Linked DNA regions of Mytilus edulis. The protein of the gene in region 2 purifies or fractionates together with the protein of the main gene of each other region. This does not show direct contact. Links are inferred from orthologs where the notes say so. Each region holds a gene or a part of one and is shown on either strand. Other genes may lie near its edges.

Evidence for each region.
Region 1: the proteins of dual specificity tyrosine-phosphorylation-regulated kinase 1B-like (region 2) and retinoblastoma-associated protein-like purify together in Homo sapiens (affinity purification with mass spectrometry; 4 studies listed by BioGRID and IntAct, with this or other methods). This does not show direct contact. The link is inferred for Mytilus edulis from reciprocal best matches to the Homo sapiens genes DYRK1A and RB1.
Region 3: the proteins of dual specificity tyrosine-phosphorylation-regulated kinase 1B-like (region 2) and anaphase-promoting complex subunit 4-like purify together in Homo sapiens (affinity purification with mass spectrometry; 3 studies listed by BioGRID and IntAct, with this or other methods). This does not show direct contact. The link is inferred for Mytilus edulis from reciprocal best matches to the Homo sapiens genes DYRK1A and ANAPC4.
Region 4: the proteins of dual specificity tyrosine-phosphorylation-regulated kinase 1B-like (region 2) and cell division cycle protein 27 homolog purify together in Homo sapiens (affinity purification with mass spectrometry; 3 studies listed by BioGRID and IntAct, with this or other methods). This does not show direct contact. The link is inferred for Mytilus edulis from reciprocal best matches to the Homo sapiens genes DYRK1A and CDC27.

The regions. Positions count from the first base shown.
Region 1 is NC_092346.1:87,036,149-87,044,054, forward strand, and holds the start of retinoblastoma-associated protein-like, read right to left. Parts: upstream 3,009-7,906; 5' UTR 2,904-3,008; coding exon 2,887-2,903; intron 606-2,886; coding exon 455-605; intron 50-454; coding exon 1-49. Other genes in the region: U2 snRNP-associated SURP motif-containing protein-like, read right to left, coding at 6,261-6,375. UniProt on the Homo sapiens protein: Tumor suppressor that is a key regulator of the G1/S transition of the cell cycle. The hypophosphorylated form binds transcription regulators of the E2F family, preventing transcription of E2F-responsive genes.
Region 2 is NC_092348.1:79,381,995-79,389,837, forward strand, and holds the start of dual specificity tyrosine-phosphorylation-regulated kinase 1B-like, read left to right. Parts: upstream 1-4,821; 5' UTR 4,822-5,399; coding exon 5,400-5,532; intron 5,533-7,843. UniProt on the Homo sapiens protein: Dual-specificity kinase which possesses both serine/threonine and tyrosine kinase activities. Exhibits a substrate preference for proline at position P+1 and arginine at position P-3.
Region 3 is NC_092347.1:40,681,742-40,689,366, forward strand, and holds the start of anaphase-promoting complex subunit 4-like, read right to left. Parts: upstream 3,005-7,625; 5' UTR 2,938-3,004; exon of another isoform or gene 2,865-2,937; intron 1-2,864. UniProt on the Homo sapiens protein: Component of the anaphase promoting complex/cyclosome (APC/C), a cell cycle-regulated E3 ubiquitin ligase that controls progression through mitosis and the G1 phase of the cell cycle.
Region 4 is NC_092357.1:17,614,554-17,622,528, forward strand, and holds the start of cell division cycle protein 27 homolog, read right to left. Parts: upstream 3,001-7,975; 5' UTR 2,895-3,000; coding exon 2,871-2,894; intron 1-2,870. UniProt on the Homo sapiens protein: Component of the anaphase promoting complex/cyclosome (APC/C), a cell cycle-regulated E3 ubiquitin ligase that controls progression through mitosis and the G1 phase of the cell cycle.

The DNA.
Region 1 (7,906 bases), on a different chromosome or scaffold from region 2:
TGACTGCCTGGTAAATGCAGCATGCCAATAGGTCAGACTTTGATATTTCCTACAACAGAAGAAATTAAAGTAACATGAAGACTATACATATATCAAACTTGTACTATTCATTAAGATGTTTCAATGTCCATTTAGTGTACACTAAGAAAGAAAAAATATCATTTAGAGGTGCTGCATCTAAAGTGCTTTTCTTAATTAATCTCAACCGGGAACGCTAAAGTCATAAATATCAAAGCTAAGGATGTATATATAGTTACTTGAGAAATTGTGCTTTTTTCTCTTCATACAGTTGTGCATACTATTTCATGGCCATCATGTATACAATTGCATTTTACTTTGAATACATAACCACAAAATTTGAACTTCCTGACCTCTCACCAATCCATTACAAAATAAATCAAGTGCCTGTGCCTTCCATCCCAAACCCCACCCATCATCACACTGTTATCACTACCTTTAGATCAGCAGTTACTTTCTCCACAATCTGCCAGTAGTCCCAAGCTTTATTCCGAACATCTTTACTCAACTTCAGTTTGTTGCTCAAATTCTCAAAATTGGTGTCAACTGTAACTATGGTTTCTACTGTTTCTGGAATTTCCTGTTCTCTGAAAAATAGTATACTTGTAAAAAGCAATTTTAATCAATTCTTCTTCTACTTGGTTAAGAGTCAGTCTTCGTATCGACAATTGAGAGTCATTGACTCGGGTCATCTCAAACTTAATTATCTTAACTATATAGCTTTTAAATATATACATACAAAGTTTTTTTTTTCGAACATAATCAAAACAAATGCACTTATGTTTCAGAAAATTAAAACTGTTTCTGAATTTTGATGTGTCTATTTTTTGTTCCAATATACAATGTATCTATAATACTAAAATAACGAGGTCCAATTTGTCAGCCATCGTGGGATAAAAACAACAAATCAAAGAATTCAACTTTATATATAGCTAATATAGGACAATGGTGTAGATTAAAAATTACACCACTCCAGACCCTTTTGTTTTCCACATAATTAACAAGTTCTGGGTCGAATCCAATACCGATACCAATAGTATATTCACCTGTTACCTATTACCTTATCTGTACATTTCACATCTGACAGGCACACTACCAAACAGTGTATTTAGGATTTTGCTATATACACGGGTCATAATCACAGGGTTGACACTACTAAATTCAATCATTGTCAAATTGTTCCCTATTGTAGTATTTTAATCAGTAAGATTTTCTAAGATAACAATACAAATACTGAAAATCTAGACTTAAAATAAGGCATATAGGTACAGTTTTCAATTTGAAGAATTTGAATTTAAAAGAATTCAACTTTATTTATAACTATATATAGCTAATATAGGATAATGCTGTTGATTAAAAACTACTCCATTCCAGGACCTTTTGTTTTCCAAATAATTAATATTACCAATAATTGATAAGCTCCAGGTCGACGGGTTCAAACAGAAAGATTTTGAAAGCAGAGAAAACTGCATATCTTATAATCATTTTGATAATCGACATGACTTTTATCAGATGACAATACGAATACTAAAATATGGCTTACGCATAGTTATATACTTTAATTCAGTCACGGGTGTGTTCTAGTATATTATAATGTTCTTCTCATATATTTTATGATGGTATAATACTGAACCCCTAACGAGAAGGGTTGTGCTTGATATTCATATGATGAAGACATAATCTTTCAATCAGTTTAATTGAGGTCTGGAGCTGGCATGTCAGTAACTGCTAATAGTCCTTAGTTAATTTATGTATTATAGACATTTTGTTTAGTTTCTTTTGATACCTATTCTGACATCAGACTCTGACCTCTCTTAAACTGAGTTTTACTATGCGTATTGTTGTGCGTTTGTTTTTTCTTCATTGGCTAGAGGTACAATGTATAGGGGGAGGGTTGAGATCTAAAAAAACATGTTTAACCGTGCCACATTTTTTTGCGCCTATCCCAAGTCAGGAGCCTCTAGCCATGCCTTTGTTAGTCTTGTATGATTTTTAATTTTAGTTTCTTGTGTATGATTCGGAATTTAGTATGACGTCCGTTATCACTGAATTAGTAACATATATGTTAGGAGCCAGCTGAAGGACTCCTCCGGGTGTGGGAGTTTTCCTTTGATAGGGAAGTTGACAATCCTAGTCAATAAAGATTGGATTTGAGTGCTCCTGCACGAGCGGGGTTCGAACTCACAACCTCAGTGATGACTGGCTTGTGATTACAGAAGTAACAACTTAGACCACTCTGCCACAGAGGCCACCCCCTCCCCCCCAAATCAGAATGAGAAACAATGAGAAATAGCAGTGGTAAACTGGACCCCTGATGTATTTACTTTACACTATCGATCTTCATCTCATGGGTTTTCGCACTATTATTATTAAGAAGGCATTGTGACGTCACAATTTCCATTGAAAAAGCATGCTTTAGTATGAATTCATATGACATACAAAAACATTTATATTAACATGATTAATAATATAATCTGACAATACACTAAAGTTAGTGCAAGCAATTGGGATTCTTGCCTTCTTCCACCATAATAAGTCTTCTTGGTGCACTGCTAGTGCTAATCCCTTGTTGTTGGAGATTGTCCTGTCGGTATTAAATAAGTTATCCCGAAAGGATTCCTCTATAGACATGTAGACTTTACACTAGCAGATCTGGAGGAGTGATACGGCTAACACCATTTACAATGTATAATTACTCTAAATAAAGGTGACTTAAAAGAATAAAGGGGAAAGCAATCTAGTAGAACAAAACTAAAAGCGATGTAGCTGTCCCCTCCCACTTCTCCAAAAATAATTTTATTTGACCATATCCATAACAGGTGCATATGCAATTCTTCAGCCCTAAAAAATTCTGGAACTAATACTTACTTCGAAGACCGCGACATGTTACGTGTAGTTATTATTCCAATTTACTTTATAATGTTTTTGTTGATCAGTTTGTTGATACACATGTTATTGTTTTGATGAAAGAAATCCCGCGATTTTTTTGTGTCAATTTTTTTGATTGGTTGATATTTTAAAGGTCAAAGTTGAAAAAATGTTACTGGCGCCAATTTATAAATAGTTCAATCATTCTTAGCGTGATTTACGTATTTGATATTTTCTGCCTATAACAATTAAAATAATTATAATGATCAAGATAGCAAGTCAAATCACTATTTATAGAGATATTTTAAAATTCACCTCATTTGAACTTTGGTGGATAGTTTTCACCAGACACATGTGCCTCTGTTTTCACACTTCTTCAGACACATTTGTTTTATCAATATATCTTTAATAGTATAATAGTCCCAGATTATATGTCTCTTGTATTTTTAATGAGGTGGCTGACTAAAAAAAATTGTATTGCCTTTTTCTTTAGTTGTAATCTCTGTCCTGCGTTTTTATATCATTCTTTTCCATCCTGCTTTTTTATTATTAGTTTGTCTTTATAGGAATTGTAAATATGCAATTTCTTGGTTTATCTAGTCCAAACAATTATGATGCATTGAAAGGCTATATTTTTTTCTTTGACGCCTTACAAGGTGTCAAAGCTAAAATCGATGAAAAAAACTTTCCTCAACGTCATAATTAATTGGACTAGAGTTTATCCTAATGAGGCTAATCTTTTTTTTACATAAATTGTCATCCTGCCATCTTCTTTTTGGAAAGTACAAAAAATGTATCTTATCCTGCTTTTTTTTTTAACTCAAAACTACCGTCCTGACTTTAAAAAAAAAATCATCACTAGCTCCTAAATTCTCACCTAAACAGAGTATAAAATAGTTATGGACTTTGCCAAATAGCTTTTGACCAAGTCCCACATCGCTTTATGTTAACTAAAACTGGATCTCTACCTTTTTACAAAACCACACACAAACAGTAGTCCTTGACAAGAGTCATCAGATGTTGCTTCAGTTACTTTTGGTGTCCCACAGGTTCTGGGTCCTGTTCTATTTCTGGTATATATATAAATGACCTACCAGAATATTTGAAATGACTGTCAGCATCATATACAAAAGTATCAAATCTAACAAAAGATTGTAATAGCCTTCAGAAAGATATTGATGCTGTTGCAAAGTGGGATGACTTTTCATCCTGACTGTAATATCTGCTATTATTCCGGGAACGTCACACACAAACCTTCGGGACATTTACTTGTTACGTAACGTCGCTACGGCAATACCGATTGTATATTTTGTAGCCATTATTAAATTACTATCTGAACCATCAAGTCTTACTCCGATCTTTCACTGACAAATGTACATTTCTCACAGCTTCTAACGAGAAAACTCCCATCAAACATAACTACATTCTTCACAGTCATACCTTAGAATCTGACTCAACAAAAATCTTGGCATTACTCTTCAATATGATTTAAAATGGATGCTGTTCAGAAAAAAATACTATTGATCTGTGTTTTGTAATAAACATTGAGTACACAAAAATTATAGCAATTTGAATTCCTAACCAGAAGACCATCTTTCCAATGTATAGTTATCTAGAAAGTCCAATTAATCTAATTCACTGGAATCAAACACAATACCACCATCTCATTCAGCATGCAAAAGGGTGTACATGTGACGTCATATGTACAAAAATACTTTCTCTTTGATTTTTTTTTTCATTTGTCATTTCTAGGCTTTTTAAAGCTGACTATGCGATATGGGTTGCTCTCATTGTAAAGAAGGTTAAACGGTAACCTATAGTTGTTATTTGGTCTCTGTTGGAGAGTTGTCTCATTCTGAATCATACCACATTTTTTATTAAAGTTCACAGTAAATAAACTACAGAGAGAACAAGAACAATAGCTATTGAATTAATTTAATGGGACAATAAAACTAACAAAAGTTAAAATGTATTGACCAATAGGAGATGACTCTGTTGAAAAGTTTCATTTGGTTCACAATAACTACTGTTCTATTTAAAGTAAGATCAGCCATATTGGTGTGTAACATGATAGTTCTGACACATGAAAACTTGAGGATGGTTATGTTAAAGATTAGTTTTTATTAGCAGGGTATTGTCAGACGAGAATATTACAGAAATTGTTATTGCAAGCTGACAAACATGATGACCAGTGGATGCCATGTAACAAGAAATGCCATAGGACTATGTTAGTTTAAGAGCTGACAAACATGATGGCCAGTGGATGCCATGTAAAAAGATATGCCATAGGACTATGTTAGTTTAAGAGCTGACAAACATGATGGCCAGTGGATGCCATGTAACAAGATATGCCATAGGACTATGTTAGTTTAAGAGCTGACAAACATGATGGCCAGTGGATGCCATGTAAAAAGATATGCCATAGGACTATGTTAGTTTAAGAGCTGACAAACATGATGGCCAGTGGATGCCATGTAACAAGATATGCCATAGGACTATGTTAGTTTAAGATAAACAATCTAACCCATAAACATATCACAAAAATAAATGCCATTTTAATTAAAGAAATACAAACATTTAGACAATGGTAGTTTTATTCAAAACAACCTTTGATTATATGAAAAATTTAGTTGACAAAGTGCACTTCTAATTCCTTTGAAATATAAATGCATTTTAAAAATTCAAAGATGCAGCTCTGGATACACGATAAATATTTCCAGAAGTGCATACATATACATGTAAATTCTTTCTATGATAATGCTAAAGCACATAAAGCCTATTTTCCATTTCTAAGCAATATTCTGAACATTATATTTTATCATGAGAAGCAGTCTTATTACAAATCAAATAGAATATTTTTGAAGTAACTTATATTCAATTCAGTATCTTGTAAAACAGGCTACTAATCTATGAGAAGCTGCAAAATCATTTAATATTTAAATTGATGTCAATTTTTATGATAATTGTTGTGTGGTATAAATGAGTATATACAAATGTTGACCAGAAATGTTATAAGATGTACATATTTACAAATTATGATAAATAACAGGTTTTCAGTTTGGTTTTATATATCTAATGACAGATATTTAAATTTGACACTGTTCTGTAATGACAACTAATTGCACACAAATCACTAATTCAACAAATGTTCATCCTCATAAAAACCAAGGTCAAGGTTTAGACTTTCTTCATTAAAATGACATGATTGTCACATTTCTTCTTCAGATTATTTCACTATCAATGTTTTCCTTGAGAACTGATTGATTGTAACACCCAGGTTTTCTTAACATGCCCAATTAGTCATTTATAACTGATACCTTATTTTGTGGACAGTATGTTCATACAACAAAGCATATAAATAAATTAATTATATATCAGTCTCTATATTTATTTTTCTTGTGTTTATGTCGATGTCTGCTAGGACTTCTGGATGTTGACCTTTTCCTTGGAGTTCGTGACCTTGATCTTGACTTTCTTGATCTTTTGGGACTACAATGAAATGGAGAAGTAATGTATTTAGATGGTTCAGATCACAATATAACATCATCACAATCTATTGACAAGCATTCTTGAAGTATTCATGTATAATCATTTTTGTTTATGTTAAATGTAAGTGAATTGTTTGGGTTATTTGGTAATGTACATTCTGTCAATTACACCATATACATCCAAATATTACTTATATTTTTGCTTTTAACTGCACTGTTAAAGATAGTGTGAACATCTTTAATTCAATATGATAAATAGTTTATATTTATTTCTATGAACCAATATAATTTAGTCTGATAACTGGTTGATTTTTTTTATAATCCTACCATTAATTTTTAATTTTGACTTGAGCATCCAATATATAGAATATATTCAAATGTTAACTAATCATTGTGAAGTTATGTAATTTGGTTGTTGATGGTTATGCTGTTTCTCAAATATGATGCATAAAAGAAAGTTGAAAACCATTTTTTTCACTCAACAGAGATTTATCATTGTTTCCTATAAGATACAACATAAAGGAAGGGACTACACAATATTACATTAATGAAATACAATCAAAGCGCTGTAAGCGCTGAAGGCAGTTAACCAAAAACCAAGGCAACCGTAATTATGAAAACTGTGGCAATGTTGCCTCAACATTAAACATTCATATATAGTACATTCATGTTTATCTAATGATTTATTTATTAAGGCTAATAATTTATATGTTATCAAGGTTTCAAAAGCAATGCATATATCAATGTATATTTTTTAATGGTGAGTCTGCAGTGGTACAAGTTCCCAATGATTGCAGTTGTTCTATTTGGTAGTTAACCTTGGTTTTATTTGACTGCTAGAAGTTCAAGTTGACTTAGTATGAACATGTAATAGTATGAATGGACTGGTTTCCCTGAAAAGAAAACTGAGTTTGTGTTCTATAGTACAAAAGTTATGAGACACGAATCAGACAAATGTTCACTACAACAGGGATCAAAGGTGAGGTCTGACTGACCTGCCCATAGTAAATGTAAATGATTTGTTATTTTGTCCCATACATATGAATATATATAATTTAGGGGTGGGGATCTCAACGGTTTTCAAGTTCTCAAACAGGTAGGGGTAGGAAGAGGATTTAGGGGGGCAGGGGGCCCGCCCCCCCTTTTTGGGAAAAAAATTGGTTGCTTATATAGGGAATCACTGAAGCGTGCCCCCACTTATGAAAATTTCTGGATCCGCCACTGGGGGTAGGGTGACCCTAGGGACTTCCCCTACATTTCATTTTATTTGTTATATTGTCCCATACATGAATATATATGGTTTAGGGGTCGGGATCTCATTGGTTTCCAAGTTCTCAAACAGGAGGGGTAGGGTGACCCCAGGGACTCCATCTATATTTCATTTAATTAGTTATATTGGCCCATACATGAATATATATTGTTTTGGTGTGGGGATCTCAACCGTTTCCAAGTTCTCAAACAGGAGGGTTGGGGTGACCACAGGAACTTCCCCTATATTTTATTTGATTTGTTATATTGTCCCATACATGAAT
Region 2 (7,843 bases):
AAATCATTCAGACAGACAGAAATTTAAAAATATTTTGGTTGAATATATAGTAGAAAAGTCAAAATTTCTCTTTCGGTCAGACAAAACATTAAACAGTTTAACACAGACTGGCATAGTTTCCTGACTATCCCATTTACAAATCGAAATTGCTAATTTTATGCCAAAATTTTTGTTTCCATTCCCTCACAAAATTAAGCAAATGACATCTTTGTGTCGGACCCAATTTCAGGCAAATTAGTCTACTGTTTGAGGCTGTCAAAATGAAAATTGCTGTTGGTCCTGGTTACCTTGGCTTCCAAATCAACTATGTAGTTCAAAAGCTGCTTAACAAAGGGAAAAATGGCTGATTTTTTTTCTCATAAATTTTCATTATCTAACTTTAGTTTGCCTCAACCAAATATTATGAAACTTATTATACACAATGCTTATAACCACAAAACTCAGATCCAGTTTGAATTATGGATGCGTCACTTTTACCGTTTTAGAGTTATGCCCTTTACAAATCTTTGTTTGCCTCAACCATATGGTAATAAACTTATACAGAATGCTTATTTAAACAAAATACAGATCAAGTTTGAAATTTGGTTGTGTCACTTTACTGTTCCTCAGTTATGTCCCTTTATTACTTTATTTGATATGCAAGTCAGGGCATCATCTGTGTCTGGACACATTACAAGTCTATTTCTTGATAGTCGCTTTATTTTTTTTTACCCCTTTCAGATCAAACATCTCGTGATAAATCCTTAAACCAACAATTTTTTTAAATCTTGGCTTAAGTTGTTGTAATTGAAATAAAGAAAGAGATATTTCTTTTATTTAGATATCCAATGGGTCATTTCAGAGTTGTCAGACTTTTCTTTTAGATCATGCAGTGGATATAGAAAAATAAAAAGATGTATGATTGCCAGTGAGACAACTCTTCATTAGAGATCAAATGATGTAATAGCTAGAATTTTTTCGTCAGGTCATGAATGACCTTACAATGTAAAAAATAAGCAAAAACTTTAACCTCCAGGTAAACCTAAAAACTTTTAAATTATATAAGGAAGGTCCATACAAACTGACAATCAAACGATATTATCTATCATACATGTATCGAGTGGAAAACAAATATCATATTAATAACTTTGGCACAGATGTATTCCAGAAGAAAATGGTAGGTTAACCATTGCTTTATAGCTAGCTTTACCTCCCACTTGTATGAGAGATCTTCATACTAAGTTCCCATATATTAACAAAATTGGTTGATTAACCCAAACAGACACAACAAGGAATTAGTCAATTATTAGCAACCCTGAGGTTTTGTAAATATCTAGTGTTGACTGATGTTTGTAGGTGGTACTTTCAATTTGTAAATATTCAGAGAAATTCATACCACATTGCAAGCTGTGAAAGGCCCAACATGACAAATGTATAGCAGTTCTAACAAGAACACTAAATTTTTTATAAGCTGCCAACTAAAAGTTCTAATTTATTCTTGCAACATCGAGGCAGGTGACTGCCAAACGGTGTCCATGCATTTTCTCATGAACTGTTCTACCAAAGCTTCTCACATCTTGTATGTTGTAATGATTCTGATGACAAAATGGATGTCAAGTTTGATATTGACGATTTTTACTTTCACCGTTCAGGAGTTGTTTCTTGACAGATTGAAAAATGGTGTTTGCAGTCATGATCATGCTTTAACTCATGAACCATTCAATCAAAGCTTTTAAAATTTTAATATATGTTGTAACTTGTGAAAAATGAAGGTCAAGTTGAAGTCAAATATTGATGATTGTACATGTCACTTTTACCATTCAGGAGTTTTGATTCTTGTGATATTGAAAAATGCCAGGACACAAATAAAATATGTTAAAACATCCAGTTTTCTGTTAATCTGAAATTCATTGTTTACTTCTGTTCATTATAAGAAGTCTATTTTACAAAACACTTATTTCATGCCCCTGCAGTAGCGGAGGAGCATTATGTTTTCTCCTTGTCCCAAAGTTGGTTTGCGATCTTTCACTTTAGTTTGCCTCAACCACAGTGGTTTCCGTTAAAGTTTGGCAATGGTAGCCAATATATACAGTTAAATACAAGAAAAGCAGAAACTTTAGGAGCCCTGGCACACTAAATTGTAGGGGCCATTGGCAAGTGGGCCCCTGTTAATTCATAGATGCCAACTATTACGATTTTTCCGTAGTTTTTCCGATTTTGCGATATAAACTACGCTATTACGGTCAAAGTCGAATAGTTACGGATTCCCAATCACCGACGTTCAATTTTGTAAAACGCGGATTTTTATCATTACTTTTCCGTCCGGGTCCAGTATTTAGGAAACGCCAATCTAATGCTTCCGGTTTCTCGGGAGTTATCAACCTATTGTTGGGTAACTAATTGACTTCCGAAGAGTCAAACTTGCATTTTATTAAGTAGCTTTTTCCCTTTCTCTACTTCTCCTTGACAAAACAAAAATGTTTGAGTCGAGAGCATCTGAACAATTAATGAATGGAATACATACTACAGACAACATGTTAAATGACAAATTTTAGTGTACATCACTTTGCAACCACTCGTCAGTAATTTTGATTGGTAAATGCACGTTTAATATAAATGATTACTGAAAACTTTTCAAAAATACGGAAAATTTGATAGTTTGTTACTGATTGTGTCAAAAGGGGGTTGGCATCTATGCTAATTTCAAACCCTGCTCAACCATATGTTATATAATTTTATATGCAGTGCTTATTACAGATTCAACCACAAAACACAGATCAAATTTGAATTTTGGTGTCATCATTTTAACCATTCTAAAGGTATATATCCCTTTGCAAATGGAAAAATTGCTGAATTTTTTTCGTTTTTGTTCTCCAACTTTAGTTTGCCTCTACCAAATGTTATGAAACTTATACACTATGCTTATTACCACAAAACACAGATCAAGTTTGCATTTTGGTGGTGTCACTTTCAACCATTCTAGAGTTATGCTCCTGTACAAATGGAGAATTCTGCGTTCTCTTACTTTAGTTTGCCTCAACCAAATGCTACGAAACATATACACAATGCTTTTAACTTTAAAATGCACATCAAGTTTGAATTTGATGATGTCACTTTTACTGTTCTAGAGTTATGCTTGTTTATAATATTGATTGAAACATTGCTGATTTTTTGTTTACCTTTTCTATCTTGAGTTCACCTCTACCAAATGTTATGAAACTTATTCACAACAGGGCGCCATTACACGCCAAAACCACCTGTAGGAAACACTAATACTATTACCTCAAAACTCGGGGGCGGATGCAGGAATTTTCGAAAGGGGGTGTGCTAACCCAGGGCAAAGGGGGGGTGCAAAACATATGTCCCGATACAAATGCATTGATCGGCAAAAATAAAGGGGGGGTGCGCACCCCCGGAACCCCCCCCCCCCCCCCCCTGGATCCGCCTCTGAAACTCAGATCAAGTACACATTTGGGTAGCATCACTTTTATTTTTCTTCAGTTATTTCCCTTTGTAACTTTATAAGATAAGTGGGGGGATCTTCTGTGTCCCATGGACACAATTCCCATTTATTTAATTGCAGATTTGAAAAGCCAGGGGGAGAAACTTAATTTGCCAATAGAAAAGCAAAAGAATCCATTTCGGAAAAAATAATTGTTAAATGATCCCATTTTGTTGAATGTGAATTTCAATAATTAATTTGCAGATTTTTGGCAACTGAAATTTCTATTTAGCTATAAATTGTTACCTCCAACAGGCGCATGTGAAATAATTGAACTGATTTTTGACAATAAAAAAAATGCACACCCAATGTCCCCTTTTTGTAGGACTAAACTGGAATTACACATGTAATTTTTTGTTACCCCAAAAAGTTTTAAAGAATGTACATTGTATCTTCAAATTTTTCCTATTATTGCATTGCATAGGGGGTAAGAACAATTTAGAATTGTTTTATAACTGGTTTTGATGGAATATTTTTCGAATTGCTTCTGAAAAATCCACAATTAATTTTTTTCAATTAGAATTTTTGATATACAATTATACATAATAGAAAGCTCTAAAAAATTTGGAGCTAGAAATATATGAAGTACTGAATTGGAGTTAAATAAAATATATTTACTTTTTTTTCTTAAACAAAATCCAAAGGAATCCTTTCTAAAAAGGAGAAAGCAGACCACCAAGGCCAAATAAAAAAAGTTGTGTTTCCTTTTACCCTACCTTCCCTATTATCAAAAATAAAAAATAGCCTACCTTAAAGTTTTTTGGGTCATTTTTCAATGAGCACTATTAAAGTCAGAATGTCCATCCCATACACTCAATGAAACAAAAATGGTAAAATAAAAAAAAATCTGTACCTACATGTACCCTCCTTTTTTTAGCCCAACCATAATAAAGAAAAGAAAAACACTTCTAGAGATCCCCATTAGATTAATTCAGAGTTTTGTGTTTCATTTGCTGTTTGCTTATATTAAATATATTTATAGAAACTTTTTTTTAGGTACTGGTACTTATACATACCTCCTTTTAGTTCATAAAATTCAAATCGCATGAGCTGTTGATTATCAAAATATTGTAAATAATTATTTATTCGTTATCTAACAAAATATTCAAATTTGTTATAAATACCTGATAAGTGTTATTCAAACTATTTCTAAACAAAATGTTTACATTTTATTTATATATCAGAGCATCTTAACAGCTTTCCTAAGTAAATTAACTGGAAAAATGGTTATTACATAATGTCACACACCCTTAGGGAGCCTCTATATCTCCTCTAGACTTCTCATTACATATTGACCAGACAACATTTTACATCCAGATAATGGATGTAAGAAGGAATCTGATTGGCTGATAACAGTCAGTAACCTCAGGCACATATCATCTTTGATCCAATTATGGCTCCTCTGTCACTGTGTTGTCAGGTGCTTTGCTGTAAATTTTACAGGGACATAAAGTGACCTGAAGTGTCCTTAATTTAACACCTTCATTGCCCTGTATTGGACCATTATTTGTTATGGATTATTTTCTTGTGCAAAAAGGGCTCATTAAGGATGTGAATAATTTGACTGTCTACCATGGAGGTCATTTGAGTTCACAGCACCATAATATGGTCTTACTTCCTTTATGATGGATTTTAAGTGAAGGCCTGGGATCCTTGCAATAGTTTGTTTATTTGTTATTATTGTTGATATTTTATAGAGTTTATTGATATTTACACTGTGCAATACTACTTCTTTGGTGTTCTCAACAAATCAAGATATTATATAAAACATATCTGATGCATTTTGTGTTCATATGGATATATCAGGACTGGCATGTTTTAAAAGTTGCATATAATTAGTGAAAAAAATTGTTTGTCTGCATCAGGAAAACATTGACATACTTTGACAGGACAAGTAAGGATATAAAATTTAATTCTAATGGTTCATGAGGAAAGTGGTGAAAACAAATTATTGGTCATGGATAGTGCCATGGATGATCGTATGTTGTCAAACCGTGGGCACTGGCTAAGACAGGAACAGGAGTACCATTTACAAGCCATGCGTCTCAAACGTTAGTATACAAAACTTCTCTATTTCATTACTATTCTTTTTGTGTTAATGGTTTATACATCACTTGTAGGGTATGCATGTTAGATGTACAGTCATACCTATGTAGGTGTCCTTGACCAAGATTTTGAATTAAATAGCCTCTGTAAAGTGACCAATATCTTTTCTGAATGGGACCATACAAATTTTTAATGGGAGATCAAAAAGTGTAAATTTCTCATTATATTATCAGTTCTGATCTTTTGTATTTAGGAAATCAGGTATCTAGATTAAGATAAATAGTTACCTCATCTTAGGGGATAAGTAAGGAGAACTTACTTATCTATTAATCATCATACATAATGACAAAAACAAATACATAAACAACAACACCCTTCAATCCATTCAAGATTGACAGCAGACACAAGTTGTCAAATTCTTGTATATGACAGAAAACTCCCCTGACAAATATTTATTTCATCTGATTGACCCCAGGGATTTTAATTGTAACATAGAATATAAGTTGCCCTGTGGGGGACCTCCTCAGTCAGCTGATTCATGTACCAGCTGTGTATATATGACTGGTAACATACCACACATACTTTAGTTGGGATGCTCTGATGTCAGATAGTACATCAATACTTTTTTGCAATAGATATAATGTTATCCAGGCATTATTTTTGTTTTCTTGTCTAGACAATCAATTTTAAACCTTAAAATTTAACTTTTACTGTTCATATTTCAATTTGAATGTTTCAGTTCATTAGTCAAGAGTAAGACAATACACATGTTTAAAGAATGTCAGTCTACAATACTTGAATAATCTGGCTTCTTTTGAACATCAGTAATGTAAAGTAAGGAGACACTGAATTCAAAATACAAATCTGAATGACCTTTTTAAACTGCTGAAGATTTAAATTTGACCATTGAACTGAAATAACTACCTACAATTGGCCATAGATGAAGTAATGAATGCTTGGTCAATCTTTATCAAAGGAGCCATGAAATTTCCCATGTGAAAACATTGTATTTTCTTTGTGATTTCACTTAAATTATGTACAAAGTAGTTAAATTAAGTTTATAATTTGTATTGTGGGAAACTCAGTGCTCATTCATGTGTAGCCAGCTGTAAACAATATGATGGAAGACATCTGAATATGTATGGCATGTAAGGAATGTAGAACCAGGAAATATCCTGTCTTTATTAGAGATAAACAAGAATGTAATTTTGATATATTATGTAAACTCAAGAATTTAAGGTCAGGTATTGTTATTAAGACCTTTTCTGTCTTTATACCTAATAAAGCTGCAGACTGGTTGACAAATAAATAATGCAGTTAGATTGACTTTTTAATTGCAAGATCATAAAGAGCCTATAGTATAATCCCTTCATTATCTTGCACTGTACAAACATTGCTGGACAAATTATTGATTTTGAATAAACAATCACATGCAAAACTTTATGTCCACTACATGATCTGGAAATGGTTTTAAAAGTTCCTCTTTTGGACTAAATAGATCAAAACATAATAAAATGTGAATGTTTTCAAAAACTCTTACCTATTTTTTTTCTGATTGAATAAATGACATGATCAGGACCATCAAATTTTGTATTTTTAGCACCAGAAATTCTCTTCGAACATCATATACATTTTCCTAAGTTTTTATAAATCTTCAAAATACTCTACATTATATAATGATTATATTAATTGCCAAGTTCAAAAACCTTGACTACTGGAGTATAATACCTTTCATTTGGGAACCATTAGTCTAGAGGTACATTGTATTACATTGATAGTAAAAGTAAAAAGCACAGAACTAGCTCCAATTGATTCTTATCAAGAAAACATGAAGCAAAGTTTTACGCATTTATTACCAGCTGTTTATTACCTCATATTGCCCATAACTTTTATTTTACACACTTTTATTTCGATATCATTTCAGACCCAATATATATATATAAGTTTACTTTTTGCAAAATGTGACTTGAAAGGAGAGTTGTCTCATTGGCACTCATGCCACATCTTATATCTATATATGTCTTTATATTTTTCCTTAGAATAATAGATCAGTCTCAAACATAAGTTTGATCAACTGAATCAAATGCTCTGACTGCACTTTATGAAATAAATTGAATCTTTTTTTGGATTTAATCTTGCCGGTCTCTTAGATCAGTCTACTTTTATTGGATAAGTGTTTGACTTATTTTGCATGTATATGTATTGTTTTTAATGGTGGTTTAAGTGTACAAATGTCATTACCCCCTAAGACATCTGTTGGTAGTTGTGTTCATGATTGTAGTTTATATTAAGTAAAACCAGATATTGAACTAATTG
Region 3 (7,625 bases), on a different chromosome or scaffold from region 2:
ATAGTTTTTTCAACATATGAAAAGTTGTTGTTTATGTTCACTGTTAAAACAGCTGACTTTCCTTATTATTTGTAGTTCATTAACATGTCAAGACTTTTTTGTGAATCTAATTTGTTTTAGTAAAAAGACTGGTTTAACCCAATAAATATAATGTCATTAACAAGTTAGGACAATGATTTTTTGTTGTTTTTGTTTTTCTGTGTTTTTACCTTTTTTCTGGAAGGGTTTCAATTTGTTGCTGATTTGGTCAAAAGAAATATCAAATAGTTTTTTTTCATCCTTTTAATATTCATATATCAATACACAAGTTTTCACAATATGAAAGTCAGGACAACACAAATGTGATACTGTCATGACTGGATACTTTTTTTTCGTGGACACCAATTTTTGTTGATAAAAGAAAAAATTTGTTTTTCATTGATATTTGATTTCATGGCTTTGCCAAATTTTGCACTCAAGAAAACTTGGACTCAGTTAACCCGAATAATTCAGTCGTTATATTCCGCTGATCTACGAAGGCTACATTAACGCCTGAACGTCTTCCTTGATCATGACCGTCAACCGGAATTTTCACACCGCTTTGCAATATGGGAATTTTGATTTAAATTGGCAGCTAAAGAAGGAGGAGTTCCGGATGTTAATTGATGTTAAATGATGTAAACTGATGTTAATTGATGTAAATTAATTATTATCGGATTTGTGTTAATTGAACACACATGTTTGGTAAGACAATTACAAGAGAGTTGCGCAGACTCATTATCCTGATCGCCGCTGATTGGCTAGATCTCTCACAGATAGCAGGCGACGCGGCCAATGATCATAAGGAGTTCAAGCCCTCGTGTGGGAGAAAATCGGACACCGAAAGGGCTTGAATTATTCGAGTTAGGACTCAGTTGAACATTTAGAATAATGGATTACATTTACCAAAAATATCCAAGAAAACTGCCTAAGTTACTTATTCAATGTACTGATATTTTGATTTGGAATAATATTGAACAAGTCTTTTCACATATTATGAGACTTCAAGAAGGCCATAAATAATCACAGGATTTATGCCAATATCTAGGCATATCAATTGAATATATAATGATATAAGAAAGAATTAAAATTGGCCAATCTACTACACACATGTATATATATTTTAAATCAAACTGATATTTTTTGCTAAATTGACTAGAATCCAGCATTTTGTTTTCGAATGCTTATTCAATTGTCTCCATAATAGTTTCATAAAATAGGAGTCACAGCTGATATTAAATAATAAATATTGATCTGTTTTTCCTGCTTCAAGTTGAATATTGAAAAAATTGCATAATTCATTCTCCAGTTTTGATAATGACTTTTACAGAAAAAAAGTTAAGTAATTTTTAGTCTTTGAATAGATATATATGCACTGTTGGTTGGGTCCTGTTTTTTTAAATTCAAGTAAAACTAATATTATTTTTTATGTCTGTCTTAGTCTAATATATATATTTTCTATAAAATTGAGAATGGAAATGGGGAATGTGTCATTAAGAGACAACATCCTGACCAAAGAGCAGATAACAGCAGATGGATATCAATGGGTCTTCAACCTACATGTAGCAAGAAAATCTTGCACATAGAGGCCGGCTCAATAAAAATGTGTTTTATTTCAGTGAAAATGGATGTCATACTAAACTTGAAACATATAAATGAACTGAAATAACAAATCATACAAGACTAACAAATGCCAGATAGTCTATGCTCTTGACGTGTTGCTTTGTATATATATACAGGGTAAATAACAAGAATAAGCTAAGTCAACCCAACAAATAATAAATCTATTGGAATGATCTGTTGAAGCGCAAAAAAAAACCAGATTCATTATCATGATTATATGGGGATGAAGTCCCCAATTTCGGTAAAAAATTAATAAAAAACAAAAAACAAAAAATCAGGAAAATTTCACGAATTTTTCATTCTACAAAGAACAAAATCTTTAACTTTTTTTTTCAGATCTACTTCCTGTTCCAGTCTTGTTTGCATGAGACTTTGAATAAAATGTATATTTATCAACATATCAACAAATATAGGACGGAATTAAACACCCAATCATTTTTAATAATTGTTTGATATAAAAAAAAACGTTACCTGATAACAGTGTTTCTTTGTTATAATTTGTAGATAAATATTGTAAGAAGCTACTGGCATGTAGTGCTGCTGGATTTAATAATCATGAGGAGGAAAGCTTCACGAGCAAGAGTCACACACTCAATTGATTGATTTTTGGTGTTTTAACACCACTTTAAAGCACTGCATTCAGGCTATTTCGTGGCTATAAGTTTTTATTGGTGGAGGAAGCCGGAGTGCCCAGAGAAAACCACCGACCTTCGATAGGAAAACTGACAATCCTAGTCAATTAAGATATAAAGATTGGAGTCGAGTGCATCCACAAGAGAAGGATTTGAACTCACAACCTCAATGTTGACTGGCTAGTGATTACAGTAGTACAGTTGTAACTACTTAGACCACTCGGCCACCAAGGCCCCTCATACACTCAAAAAGAGTCTGACTGTGTATTCAACGAAGAAGAAAGGGAAACAAGTGTAAGATCTCTATGATTTTGCACCAATAACTAACTTCTGGTAAATTATTAACTCGAATAATTCAAGCCCTTCCCGTGTCCGATTTTCTCCCATACGAGGTTAATGTAGCCTACGTAGATCAGCTGATATATAACGACTGAATTATTCGGGTTAGTAAATTATATATATGGTATATATCTGAGACTACTATAACACATTATGAAAATATGTGCTGAGATGTGACATCTTTCCATATTTTGGGTTTTTAGAAAAGATTTCTCAATGAATTTATATGCTGGAATATTATTTCAAACGTACATTTATGCTTCAAATTCTTTTTTATGTTTTAAAACAATGTATTTTGAGGTAAATTACACTTTCGTGCACTGACTCAGTAATTGTCAACAATACATGGGGGCTGACATCTTGGTATCGAGTTGATTAGCCAATCAACGTCCAAGATGCATTTTAATCATCCAATCGATCACACCGTTACTTTTTGACACGAAGCGGCCATTTCAACTTTTGAAAAATACAGATTTTATTAATTTCTAACAATACTGGCAAGTAAATATAAAAGTATACATTCTTACAATATTTTATAGATAGGAACTAGATTAATTTTCATATTTAGATGAATTTTCGTCTTTTTGATCAAATATAATGAGATTTCTATCGGTTCTTGATGTTTATAGTTTTCCGCTATTTCAGTATTTGGTCTACAGTACATGATATCCATTGGAAGACCATAGATGTAATAACATCTATGTGAAGACCCCTATCAATGTATATATACGATATATACGTTGATAGTGGGTCTTCCAATGGATAGAAACAAGTGCCTGTGATTTGGTCGGGGTTGTCTCTTTGACACAAATTTCCCCATTCTCAATTTTAATAGTCCGTGTAAAACTGTTATTTGCATTCTACCTCAGACTATTATACATTTGTACTAGTTAGCATAACAGTCCCAGGTTCAACAGCTTTGACTTTTTCCTAGCATACCAAATGAACTGATTTATATATAACAGCTAGTCCAAATAATTATGACGTCTTGTAAGACTATTTTATTTTTTTTCTGGGACGCCTTCTTCTCAGAAAAAAAAAATAGCCTTGCCAGACGTCATAATTATTTGGACTAGATAGAAGCTGACATTTTTTAATTTGTACAAGTATTTTCCTTGTGGATGATCTCTGTTGCAAGTCATATGCCAAGTGTGGCAACCCATTTCAGACATTTGTCATTTTCTTTTTTTTGTTACACTTAAATGCATGCACCCTACTGTATTAAGCTATAAGCCTTATTATATCAAATTCATATATATGATTTATTATGCGTGTCAGTTCCAACAAGGATTTGTAAAGTACACACAACAAAATTATGTACATGTAATACAAATCCTTGGTTCCAAAGATTGCTTTATTATACCTGATGTCCTTATTCAATGTCAGATGTATTGTACATGTAATTTGACCTGACATCTTGAATTAAAAAAAAAAAAAAAAATGATTTTTGATATTTGACCTAGCTGCGAACCATTGCACCATTAGGCATCCAGTTACAAAAAAAATATCCAAAGAATCAACATGTACATGATCAAGTCTAATGTCATGTTACCCTGGATACATTATTTATATTTGCTGTGAGGCCTTCCCAAAATAATGTTTATGAAAAGTCTTACAATAAACTGAAGCCTTTTTAGTCTTTGTTTTACATTAGTATTTTTTTTTGGTCCCTTTATAGCTTGCAGTTGGGTGTAAGCCATTGCTCCATTTTTGCTGAGCTACATGTAGTACACTTTGTTTGTTAAACATATAAAACATCTTAAGGTGCCAACTCTGTGTGCTTTATATTTTGAAAGAAAAACCCCTGAAAAATAGTGATACATGGACCCAGTATTCTGATTTAAAAAAACTTCTTTATTTCAATTTTGTTCTGTCCTAATTGGTTGTTGCTGTCTAAAGCTTGAATCTGACACCTGTGTATTGGTTTAATTAATGATCTGTAACTGTGGTAATTAAATGCATATCAGTGCTACTGTAATAGATCACCATACCAATCACATGATAAGATTTAATCATAAAAGTCAGGTGTAATTTTTGGACTCCAATATGCACATGATCATTGATGTATATGAAGGGAAATTAATTTGAAAAATTGCTTTCAAAGGAGAGAGTCTTGAGATGTATTTAAAGGATATTTTAGAAGATGAAGCCCAAGTTATTTCATTGTGTCCTTTATCATTGTTTATATATGAAGATTTTAGAAGAAGAAAAATATTTGATGAAGCAGAACATTTTATAGTCATTTTATGACTTTTGATGATAAATAGAAATTACAGTTTTTATTTACACATATTAATAAGAATCATAGCTGTACCAAATTCTGTATCATATAAGAATAGACATAGAAATGTTTTAATACGTTAAATAATGTTGTTATAAATATTTTCTATAATACACAAATTTTCTATAATTAAAGGTTTATGTTTTAAGTTGCAGAATTTTTCACTTTCTAATTCTAGCTACATTGTATATATATGAAGTATATTATAGGCAAATAATTCTTATAATTTTTTTACATTTTTCTTTTCCTTGATAATCATATAATTTCATAGGGCCAAATAAAAATATATGTGTGGTTCCAGTTACCCTACCGTCCATCCTTTTTGGCTTAAAAATAGCCTACCCTAAAGATTTTATTGTCATTTTTCATTAAGCACTGTTAAAGTCAGAATGTTGCTCCCATAGAGTAAATGTAAAAAAAAAACATAAAATAAAAAAAAAAATCCCTACCTACCTACCTTAACCTTTTTTTTTAGATGTAACTGGAACCACACATACTTTTTTATTTGGCCTAGGCCCTAATATTAATGTTTGATTTTATTTGGAACATGGAATTTATTAAAAATTTCAATAACAAGAAATCAAGCAAATTGCATAATTAAAAATAATTCCAAGTTCAAATAATAGCCTGTTAATTGAATATTTGTTTTTGTTATTTCAATGTTTGTTTAGCTAATACTAAAAATGGGATGTTCTCATATCTTTTTGATTACATGCAAATATAGAAGTGCATTATCTATGAAGCCATACACTAACTGTTCCTTATCATGGTATAATGTGAATAATCTTATGGCTGACGAATTGATAAATTAGAGATCATTTTAATTGGTATCTTTAGTATACATGTATACATTTATTAATCCTTTTATTTTTAACCAACATGCCATTTGAGCAAGTCTAATTTTAAACAGATTACAAGGTTCCCAATGTGTTATCTGTATTGTATATAAACATCCAAGTATTATTTATTTATTTATGAAGTACTGATTTGCTACAAAAAACTTGGGGATAAAGTTTGCATTATTTGTAGTACTGTTCCATGTAGTCAAAACAAATTTTACTGAAAGATAACTACAGCACTGCTTACATGTATATGTTGTTATAAAAACAAGATGCCTGAAAGATAGAATAAGTGCTTGGGTGGGATGGGCTACCCCCTTTTTTGTGTGTTTGAAATTTTTAGCAAATTTTCTTTGATATTTCTTTGCTCAATTTATATTCATGCTTTTAACCATACTTATGTATAATAAATATTTTTTATATGTGCTTCACTCCACTAAATAGAAAAAAGGGGGGTTCATAACCCCAAAAGTCTGTGGTTCATAGATAATGACCATGACCCTTCTGAATACTTATATACATGGATGATTTGTAGTGAAAATTTTAAAAATGTTTAATTTAACCAGTTCAGTGAAGTATACTGTTCAACAGTGCCCTTTTATCAAAATTGCAATGAAGTATTTATGCTCCCCTAGAAGACAGAAGCATTACAAAAGGCCATGGTGACTTTTTAATCATTATTTTATCATACATTGTATTTGGTTCTGCTTCAATTGATCTAGCTCTCACCTTGAGTAGAGATATTCTGATTATACAAAACCTCATTTGATCATGACCACAGACTTCAAAATTGGTATGTGTGACTTCTTTGCCCAGTCTGCACCAAAAACTTTTTCAACAACTAGTCCGAAGACCAATATTCTGACATATTTCTTATTGATCCAAGTTTTGCAAAAACTCATGATCACTAGTCCAAATTAAATTTTACTAGTGTGGGGCATCGGACTAGTGGCTAACCGTGCAGACTGTTTGCCAGCCACACAGCATCATCTACATGGCTAAGGAGAAAGACTTAAGACTGCTTGATAGCTTGGAGTCTGAATAATGTGGCAGAGTTGGAATGATATATATGTAAAAATGTCTGTTTTCTTACAAACTACTGTAAATCAAATCCTTTTCTCTTTTTTTTTTAAATCAACAGTAAATCAATGTTAACCTGTAACTGTAACATCATACAAGAAGCAAAGTTCTGCAGCTTTAGTTTTGAGTAAGAAATAAATATACTCTGTATGAACTATGTTCAACATGATATAATATTCCAGATTTTGTGATTTAAAAAAAAAATCATTTACAGAACGTGAGACGAAGGTTTTATTTAATTTTTAATTTTTTTAATAAATGGTCTAGACCACAGTTATTTCGTAGATATATTTAGTGTGTTAATACTGTTGTACTACTTTTGAGACAAATTATATCAAAATTATAGAAAACTTCATCAGCTCTAACTCAAAATGTGGACAATTTTATGTTAAGGGGGTCTTGAAATCTTTTGGCAGCTTCAGAAATGCTAATTTTTAACCATTTTAAGATGGACCAAATCACTACTTATCTTTCAAATTATGACCCAAATGTTTATACAGTGTAATTTTATCCCCCTTACTACTTGCTATTTGAGGCATAAAACGTGAAGAAATAAATTTGGAAGGGGTATAAAAAAATTGGCAAGTAACATACTGTCCACACTAGGGTCTAGATCCGTGGAGGACGAAAATCAAAGGATGATAACTGTATACTCGGACCTAATCTATAAAACTACAACAAGTATAAAAAATTTCAGAATTCAAACAATGTAATCAAAATTAATTCAGAATTCAAAAAATTTAATCAAAATTAATTCAGAAATCAACTAAAATTTGTACCATGCAATTGTCACTAACAGTACTTCCAAATCCA
Region 4 (7,975 bases), on a different chromosome or scaffold from region 2:
TTTGAATTATGCACAAAGATGGACTTTTAACAGGTTGGGAACAACACTCCAAATGAGGGGTAACCCTCACTGGAAGAACATTACAACCCACTGTAAAAAATGAGCACCTTTATATTCATATTATTTGATGAAACTTTTCCCCAAGAACTATGCATCTATTAAGTATTAAATGGTCAAAACATGTCAAAAGAATTTTGTGATGTTTCTTAACTTATACATGTTATATATCTTCTTTATTAATTTGACCCCTCATTTAGAAAAGTTGTTCCAAATATAATGAATTTTCCCACTTTTGAGTTAAAAATCTTAAAAATTTTACTTTAAGGTAGTACAGTAGACTCCGGCCAACCGGATACCCAAAATGTCAGCTAAAAATATCAGATTACCCGATATATTCAATTAGACGATGAATGTATATTCATTGAATATTCTGCAATAATAATTAAGCAGATATATTGCTTAATATGTGAAAGGGCTGGAGGACTGATGGAGTGTTTTTTATCAGTTACATCACCACGATGGTTGCTTAAAAAATTATCAGCTGATTATGTAATGATTGAATTTGTTTGCACTTGCAGTTTTTAAATCCTATATTTATTAAAATAAGTCAAATGTCCTGAAATATTTATGTGAATTATTATCTCCCATCCATAGTTTGTCTTTACTTGTTTAGTAAACAAATTAAATATCCATTATTTACATTTTCACACAGGTAAACTAATTTGGCTATAAATAGATCAAAGCATGTCTGTGGAGAATCTCTAATCTAAAATGGTAATTGTTATAATTTTATTTCTTTAAATAATCAAATTTAAATTTATGAAAATAATCATGATTGATAAAATAGTATTGCATAAAGTTTAAGTTTTCGGAAGACTATTTATGGTTAGGTCATGGTTCTAGAGGCTTCTTAACAAATTTGTAAACAAACTAATATGGCCGCCACACGTGATTACCTTTGCACATGTGAAAAAAATATTTCTGACAAAAGTCAGATTTCTCTTATCAAAAGGGATTTATATTTATATTGCAATAAATTATTCAGAAGGAGGTACATTCAGTTTAGATTATATTTCATATTCTATAAGCATTTAGAGTTTAATAAAAATTCTCCCAACAGCAACGTACTGACTGCTCTTGTCAACTGAGTCTTGAATAATTTTATAAATAGATTCAAACCATTTGAAGTAAAAGGGTATCTAATTCACATGACAAAGGAAAACAATGAATAAAGACAACAATTTAATAAGAAATAGATCCCTTTTATTTATTAAAAACAAAATCTTCTTGTCTACAAGATTGCAAATTCGTAACTTCAAGGGCGAACATGTAAACAGGGCGAGTTGTCCCGATACTAAATTCATGCATGCGTACTACAAATATCTACAGTAAAAACATCCGGTTACAAATAAACAAATAACGTTCATGTAGAAGAGATGAAATCTAATAATTAACATAAATAAAAGGATACACATTTACGATAGTGATTGTTTTTCAATCCTAATTTACAAATTAAATGATTCAAATGCATAATCATGCATTAAAATCGATGTCTGGAATCAGAAGTTGTTATGAAATTGTAATACACAGAAACGAATGCGGCATACAGAGGATTAATGATTTTAAAGTCGGCACCATAAGCCTTCAGAAGACACTAAAAATGGCTTCAGCGTTATGACATCGTAGAAAGATGTCTCAGAAGAAAATCAAAATAGCCTTGTGTAATTATTTGAAATAGCATTGCAAGACTCATAAATATCATGAATATTTGGACTAGACTATAGTCGCCATCACGATCACGTAAAATTGGCACCATGTTTTTTTGTTAAAATTTTTTTAAATATCAGCCGTGTTTATTCAAGATGATGTTTTTATTTAGTGAAAGTTAAATCCAGTCCAAATATCCACTACGGTCTTACTTTTTATTGTGTTTGCACTGTATAATCCTGACCTTCAAATTTTTAAGATTATTTACATTGTAAAACTGCCATCTTGGTTTCTATGAGGATCCCTTGTTCCATAACATTCGTTATTCTCCAGTAAGATCATTGTCATTGATGATACAATTTCCCGTGCTTTTTACATAAAGATGACAAAAAGCTCCAAGAGACACAAGAAAATGGAGAGCACGTGGAACTCCACGGCAACACTTCCGGCAATAACAATGTCGGATTCCACCATACAAAATAATCCTGGATTATGTGAAGGTCAGGATTATACAGTGCAAACACAATAAAAGGTAGGACTGCAGTGGTTATTTGGACAGGATTTTTCTTCCGCTAATTGAAAAACATGTTCTTTAGTAAACACGGTCTATATTCAAGAAAATTTTAACAAAAAACATGGTGCCAAATTTACGCGACAGCGACTTTTTTTTATAGAGGGACAAATCAAAATTGTTGATGTTCTGATGTTGTTATCATGATCATGGTTACCCCAGACTGATAATATTTGAAGACTAATCATGTGTGTAATTGCTGATTCATTTGCATGTAGAGAGAGTGATTTGATAGGATGTTGCAATTGGGAATTTTGAAGAAAAAAGCTGAATTTCTGAGCAGACTGGTCCTTGCCAACTATCAAGACAATGGTCTCAAGTTCAGTTGAGACTGTCAGGCTCATCATATATTTCTGATGCCAATAAATTTCTTCATGTGAACACTGCTGGTGCCAATTCAATTTTGAATGAATTTAATTCAAATCGTTAAAAAGGAGGAAATCTACGAATAACAATAAGACACCTGTTTATATGGATTCATGTCACTTTTAGTTGTTCTGTTTTTTAGCTCTAATACACTTTATTTACAGGAAATGTGACTTATTTTGGGTAGGTATATTTAGTCATCTAATAGCATTGTCAGTTTTCATACCTGTACGGGTTCTTGAAGTAACATATTACTTCTATTTTACGTTTTATTTGCCCTGTCTTTCACACTTTCGTTGATTGTATTCATTCTTTTTAACCGCCTCGATTTCAATAATATTTGGGTCACAGGGGCGATAATTCAAGACTGGTTACTTTTCTGGGACCCGGCTCGTTTCCCTTCGACACACATTTTCCTTTACAAACTTTTAAAAAAAATATTTGTATAATTTCTTCATTAACATGACATATTCTTATAAAGTAAAATATGAAGATATATGGGTTCTGTGTTGCATCTTTCGTTTTTTTTTTTTTTTTGTAGTTCGTGATTTTCTTTTTATTATTTTTTGAAAAAAGGGGGGTGTACCGAACACTTAATTGATAATGGTTTTGCCACTTTGTTTGGTCCCTGTTGTATTCAATTATAAGTATATATTTGATTTTGTGGGGGGTTTTTTAACGGAAAAAATCACTTCACCATTTAAAATACATATTTGTTCAAAGATCAAAATTGGTAAAACTTGACCAGACGCGGTTTTCATGTGGTCCACAAAAGCTGAGTAATCAGTGAAATCGGCAGGGACTTTCTTTACAAACTCTGGAAACAGTATATTAATGTATAGTATATATGTTCCTGACTAACTTTAGTATAGAAAGTCCCTGTTGAAATTTAACATATAGAAATACTTCACAATCATCGTTTCCCACACATTAGAGATAGTCATACCGCATTCGTTTAGAACAGTCTTTATTCTGTCTAACCATGAACAATTCACATTGTAGACCCTGCTCCACATGTGGCACCCGTCGTGTTGCTAATGTGATAACAAATCCGGTAAATAGTCTAATTCGGTAGGTCACATTCATGAAAGGGAAGGGGACTGTAGTTACGACGTAAGGAACATATCCGATATCATTTCGCTGAAACGGTTATTCCAAAAACGGTCAACCAACTCGTGATGGCGTCCGTAAAATTTACCAAGGGATGATTTCAACTTCACCATTTGGAACTCTTGGTTTAATAGCTTCCTTGTGAGCAGCAACCCTCTATCAAGAAAATCATGATAGGAGATACAAGCAAATTGGGATATATACCCCGTATGCAGGTGCTGTTGGAATGTTGCTACTTAGAAATGGAAAGTTCACAATTGGAAAACTGAAATCATCTTTTTTTGTCATGCCAAGAAATTGCCTCTGTTGAAATTCTGAAAATATCCCATAGAGCAAATTACATGAATGATTATTATTGACCATTTGGTATATGGCCGTGTTCTAAGCGACACGTACATGAAGGTCATAAATTAATTTCTTGAATGAAATCAAATCTTTAGCTACTAATGACTGCCGTAGGAGGTCGACCGGAATTTTTAGCGAGGATTTCTTGGCATGCGTAAAGTTTTGTTTTCAACCGACCCTCATTGTCAATTTATAGATGTAAGTCAAGATATGAGGCCGACTTAACTGTATCTGTATCAATTTTTAGAATTAATTTCATCCAAAGCTTTGATGGCTTTACTAATGGGTTTATTGTAACACTTTTTAAACTGACCGTGCGGAACGTTTTGGAAGAAAAAAAACAATGCCTAAATATGAAATATAAGATAACAACTTCCATATTTTTTAATTGGTATTTTAAGAACAAATTTGGGATTGATCCTGGTTTTGTGGCTAGCCAAACCTCGCGCTTAATGGCAATTTTAAATATACCGCTAAAATGACAATATTAATTTACATGACAGAAAACAGTACAAATAAATGCAAGAACACATAAGACTGAGAAATACACAGATAACTAATTACAATATTATACATTTCGACATGAAGTATAATCAATTAAACTTGTAATCAGAAATCATATGTCAGCTAAAATACTCAAACATTGTCAAACTTAAATATTATCGTAGAGGTTTTTAAAAGATTTTGTCAAGATGAACAAGACTAGTGCACGTGATAGCTTAAGGCGAGCATTGCAATTATTATCGGTACAGGGTTATGAACTATGTATTTTTCATATTTAGGCATTGTTTTTTGTCAGTTTTACAAGTGTTACAATTAACCCATTATTTCTAAAAAAAAATGGCCGCTTACATAACCTGACAGTTAACCATGTTAAATGTCAGTACGTTTCATGATGTTACCAAACTTGAATATTTTTTGTCATTATTACTTATTTTTGATATTTCAAATCCCGTATTTTACACGTACTTTCACTGTTTAAAACATGACGTGTAAAATCTTATCAGTGGTACCCTTATCAGTTTCATTGATTCAGATGTGAAGAAAGATTGTGATTCGTTTTTTATATTTACGATTTTCGTGCAGTACTTGGTAAACTACAGTCAATGACAGTGTGAGTAAATTTCCAAGTTATTTTATTTCATAACTTTAAGCAAATATTTCATATCAAGTTTAGCAATCAATTTCCTATGTTTCGTTTGTTTGAACTGCCGATTTTAAAATATAGATAATAGTTTGTATTTTTTTTTGATTTATGTACACTGTTTAATTAGGCTACACTTAAAAATGTTATGATTTGTCCAAACCTACCCAAAGGTTGAACAAGTGGGTAGGTAGGTAGTCTTTTTTTTTTTTTTTTACAACAAAGAGAAATTAAAGCGTCAAATGAATTTTAGTCTCCATGCCTATCTGATTAAAAAAAAACTTTTTCACATATTCAGGACAATACAAGCCTGAGATTCAGAGTAACTACAATTTTAATCCAAAATGGTTAAAGTTAAACATTTAACAATTTCTGCGGGCTTGGAAATCAAATGTTCCACTTCAAAAACAACTGTTCTAGAAGATTCCTTATCTTATAAACATAATGGATATCATAACCAAGGATAATGGGAAATACACCATCCCACAATGGGTAATATTCTATTAGGCCCCCACAAAATATGTGTGTTTCCGATTACATCTTTGAAAAAGGGTAGGTGGGTAGACATATAGTCTATGAGAAGGACATTCTGACCTTACCAATGCTTAATGAAGCAAATGGAGAAAGTTAGACAAATTAGACCAAGGATTGCTTGTAATCAGATAAACTTTTTTTGAGGTTCACATCACTTATCATTTATATTTCATATATAATCATATACATTTATTCCACTAAATTGATTATAGGTTTCGTGTAGTTTTTGTTATCTTTTTAATCGTGTTTAAATAATTTTTACAGATATATATTTATACATCTATTTTTTTTCAGTTTTTTATACCATTTTCTATCGCCTTCCATCTACTATGCACCTCGGGTGTAGGAAATGTGTTTATAAATAAATTTAAAGTGCAAGTTCAGGAAGGTGCAGAATATAATTAAGCCTTGACGGATCGATCATCGGGGCAGTGAATTTGTTAGCACTTATTTATTTTTTTATTTATTGTTTTGGAGGATGCACGTATTCAAAAGTTTTAGGACATTTTTTTGACACAAAACCACTTAAAAATGTGTCGCAGATAAACTGTATTGGAATTGCTTTGGCTACTGTAAGAACTATAATTTCAGCCATTAGAGATAGCCACTCACTCTTCCCCGCAATATCTGATATTTGGCTGGCAAAGATTGCGTCGGCGAAGCAGGATGACCTAGATTCTCCAAAACCAAAGTTTACGAAGTTGACATTGAACGGTGCCACTAAGGATGTAATTATCTATACAGGGTCAAGGAGCCGCTGGTAAACAGTTGACGTCCGTCGGATCGAATACGCACGAATCTTACTTTGGTGCTTGTAGTATTTCGGGGTAACGTATCTCTTGTATTATGTAATAAACACTCAGTGGCCCCAACCCTTTTAAAAATGGCCGAGTCCGCCTCTGATCTTTTTCAATGATTTGATTATCTTAAAGAAATGCAAATAATTTATATACGTGTCACTATACACTATAGGCGAGTGATATGAGAGCCAAATTCACATTTTTAATGCACCTACCTAACACACGGCTAAATTATATATCACTGGAAAGCTAAGAATGTGTACTTTCTAAATATCCCGGTCGATCGTCAAAAGAAATTATGGTGCATTTTTTTTAAATCGAGGTCAAAGGTCATGGGTGCAATTTCAATTCACGGATACTTCCAGTAGAAAAATCGAGTCAAAACAAATACAAAAATGAAACAATTTTATAGGAATGCTGTATTACTGTTGGGAAATATATTTCTATCATAGTATTAATTAATGTTGGTTGATTTTAACGGTAACGCATGTTACGTAACGTTTTCTCTCGGAGTCTTTGAAAATCAACCATTAAGTCACACAAATGTATCTGTAGTCGCCCTTGCATTATCTAAATCTTATTATACCTCCATATCATTTGATTGCACGTATTTACAATCATATATCTGCAAATTTGATATAAATAATTCGAAGCAAAATATTTGAAGCAAGGGGAAAATATAACATATGACATATTTTTAATTGTTTAGAAAGTTCCATGATGAGCTGTACATTAAAATTCAGGAAGCGTATGGTCTCCTGTTAGTTTGAAAGCCTACCAACCGCTTCAAGATCAGACAACCATAGGGCGGATTTTTTTTTATTATTGTAGTGCAATATGTTGAGTCTGGATCATACCGCAATTTCATTTACATCACTAAATCAGATATGACAAGAGTACTAACTAACATTACTAAAATGAGTAAAGTGCTACTAGTATATTTATATCAACAAATTGACAATTAATTTTTAATATAAAACATCACAAGGAAAATGTGACCACTCATTGTTACGTTAAACTGTGTTTGATTTTACTTTAGTCGGCCGCCGTGTATCTTGAGATATCTTATTAATCAAACAACACTTGACAAAGAAGTTTGTACTTATTTTAAATTACGCTAGTGATGACCTTCGGGCTACTTTGGCACTACGTATTACTTTTTTATATCTTGTTTCACCGCTTCAAACGGAGGACAAGGTTATCCTAATATTGAACCTTTTATTTGGCTTTCTTATGTTAAAATCCCGTTAGCGTATAACCTAAATGATCGAAACGTCGGACCAATGGGATGTATGACCATTTAGGTGTCGAAATATTGCGATATCAGAATATTATAGCTTCATTTTAACTTGTTATCTCATCATTCTTATCGGAATAATATCCATACAAAGACAACTT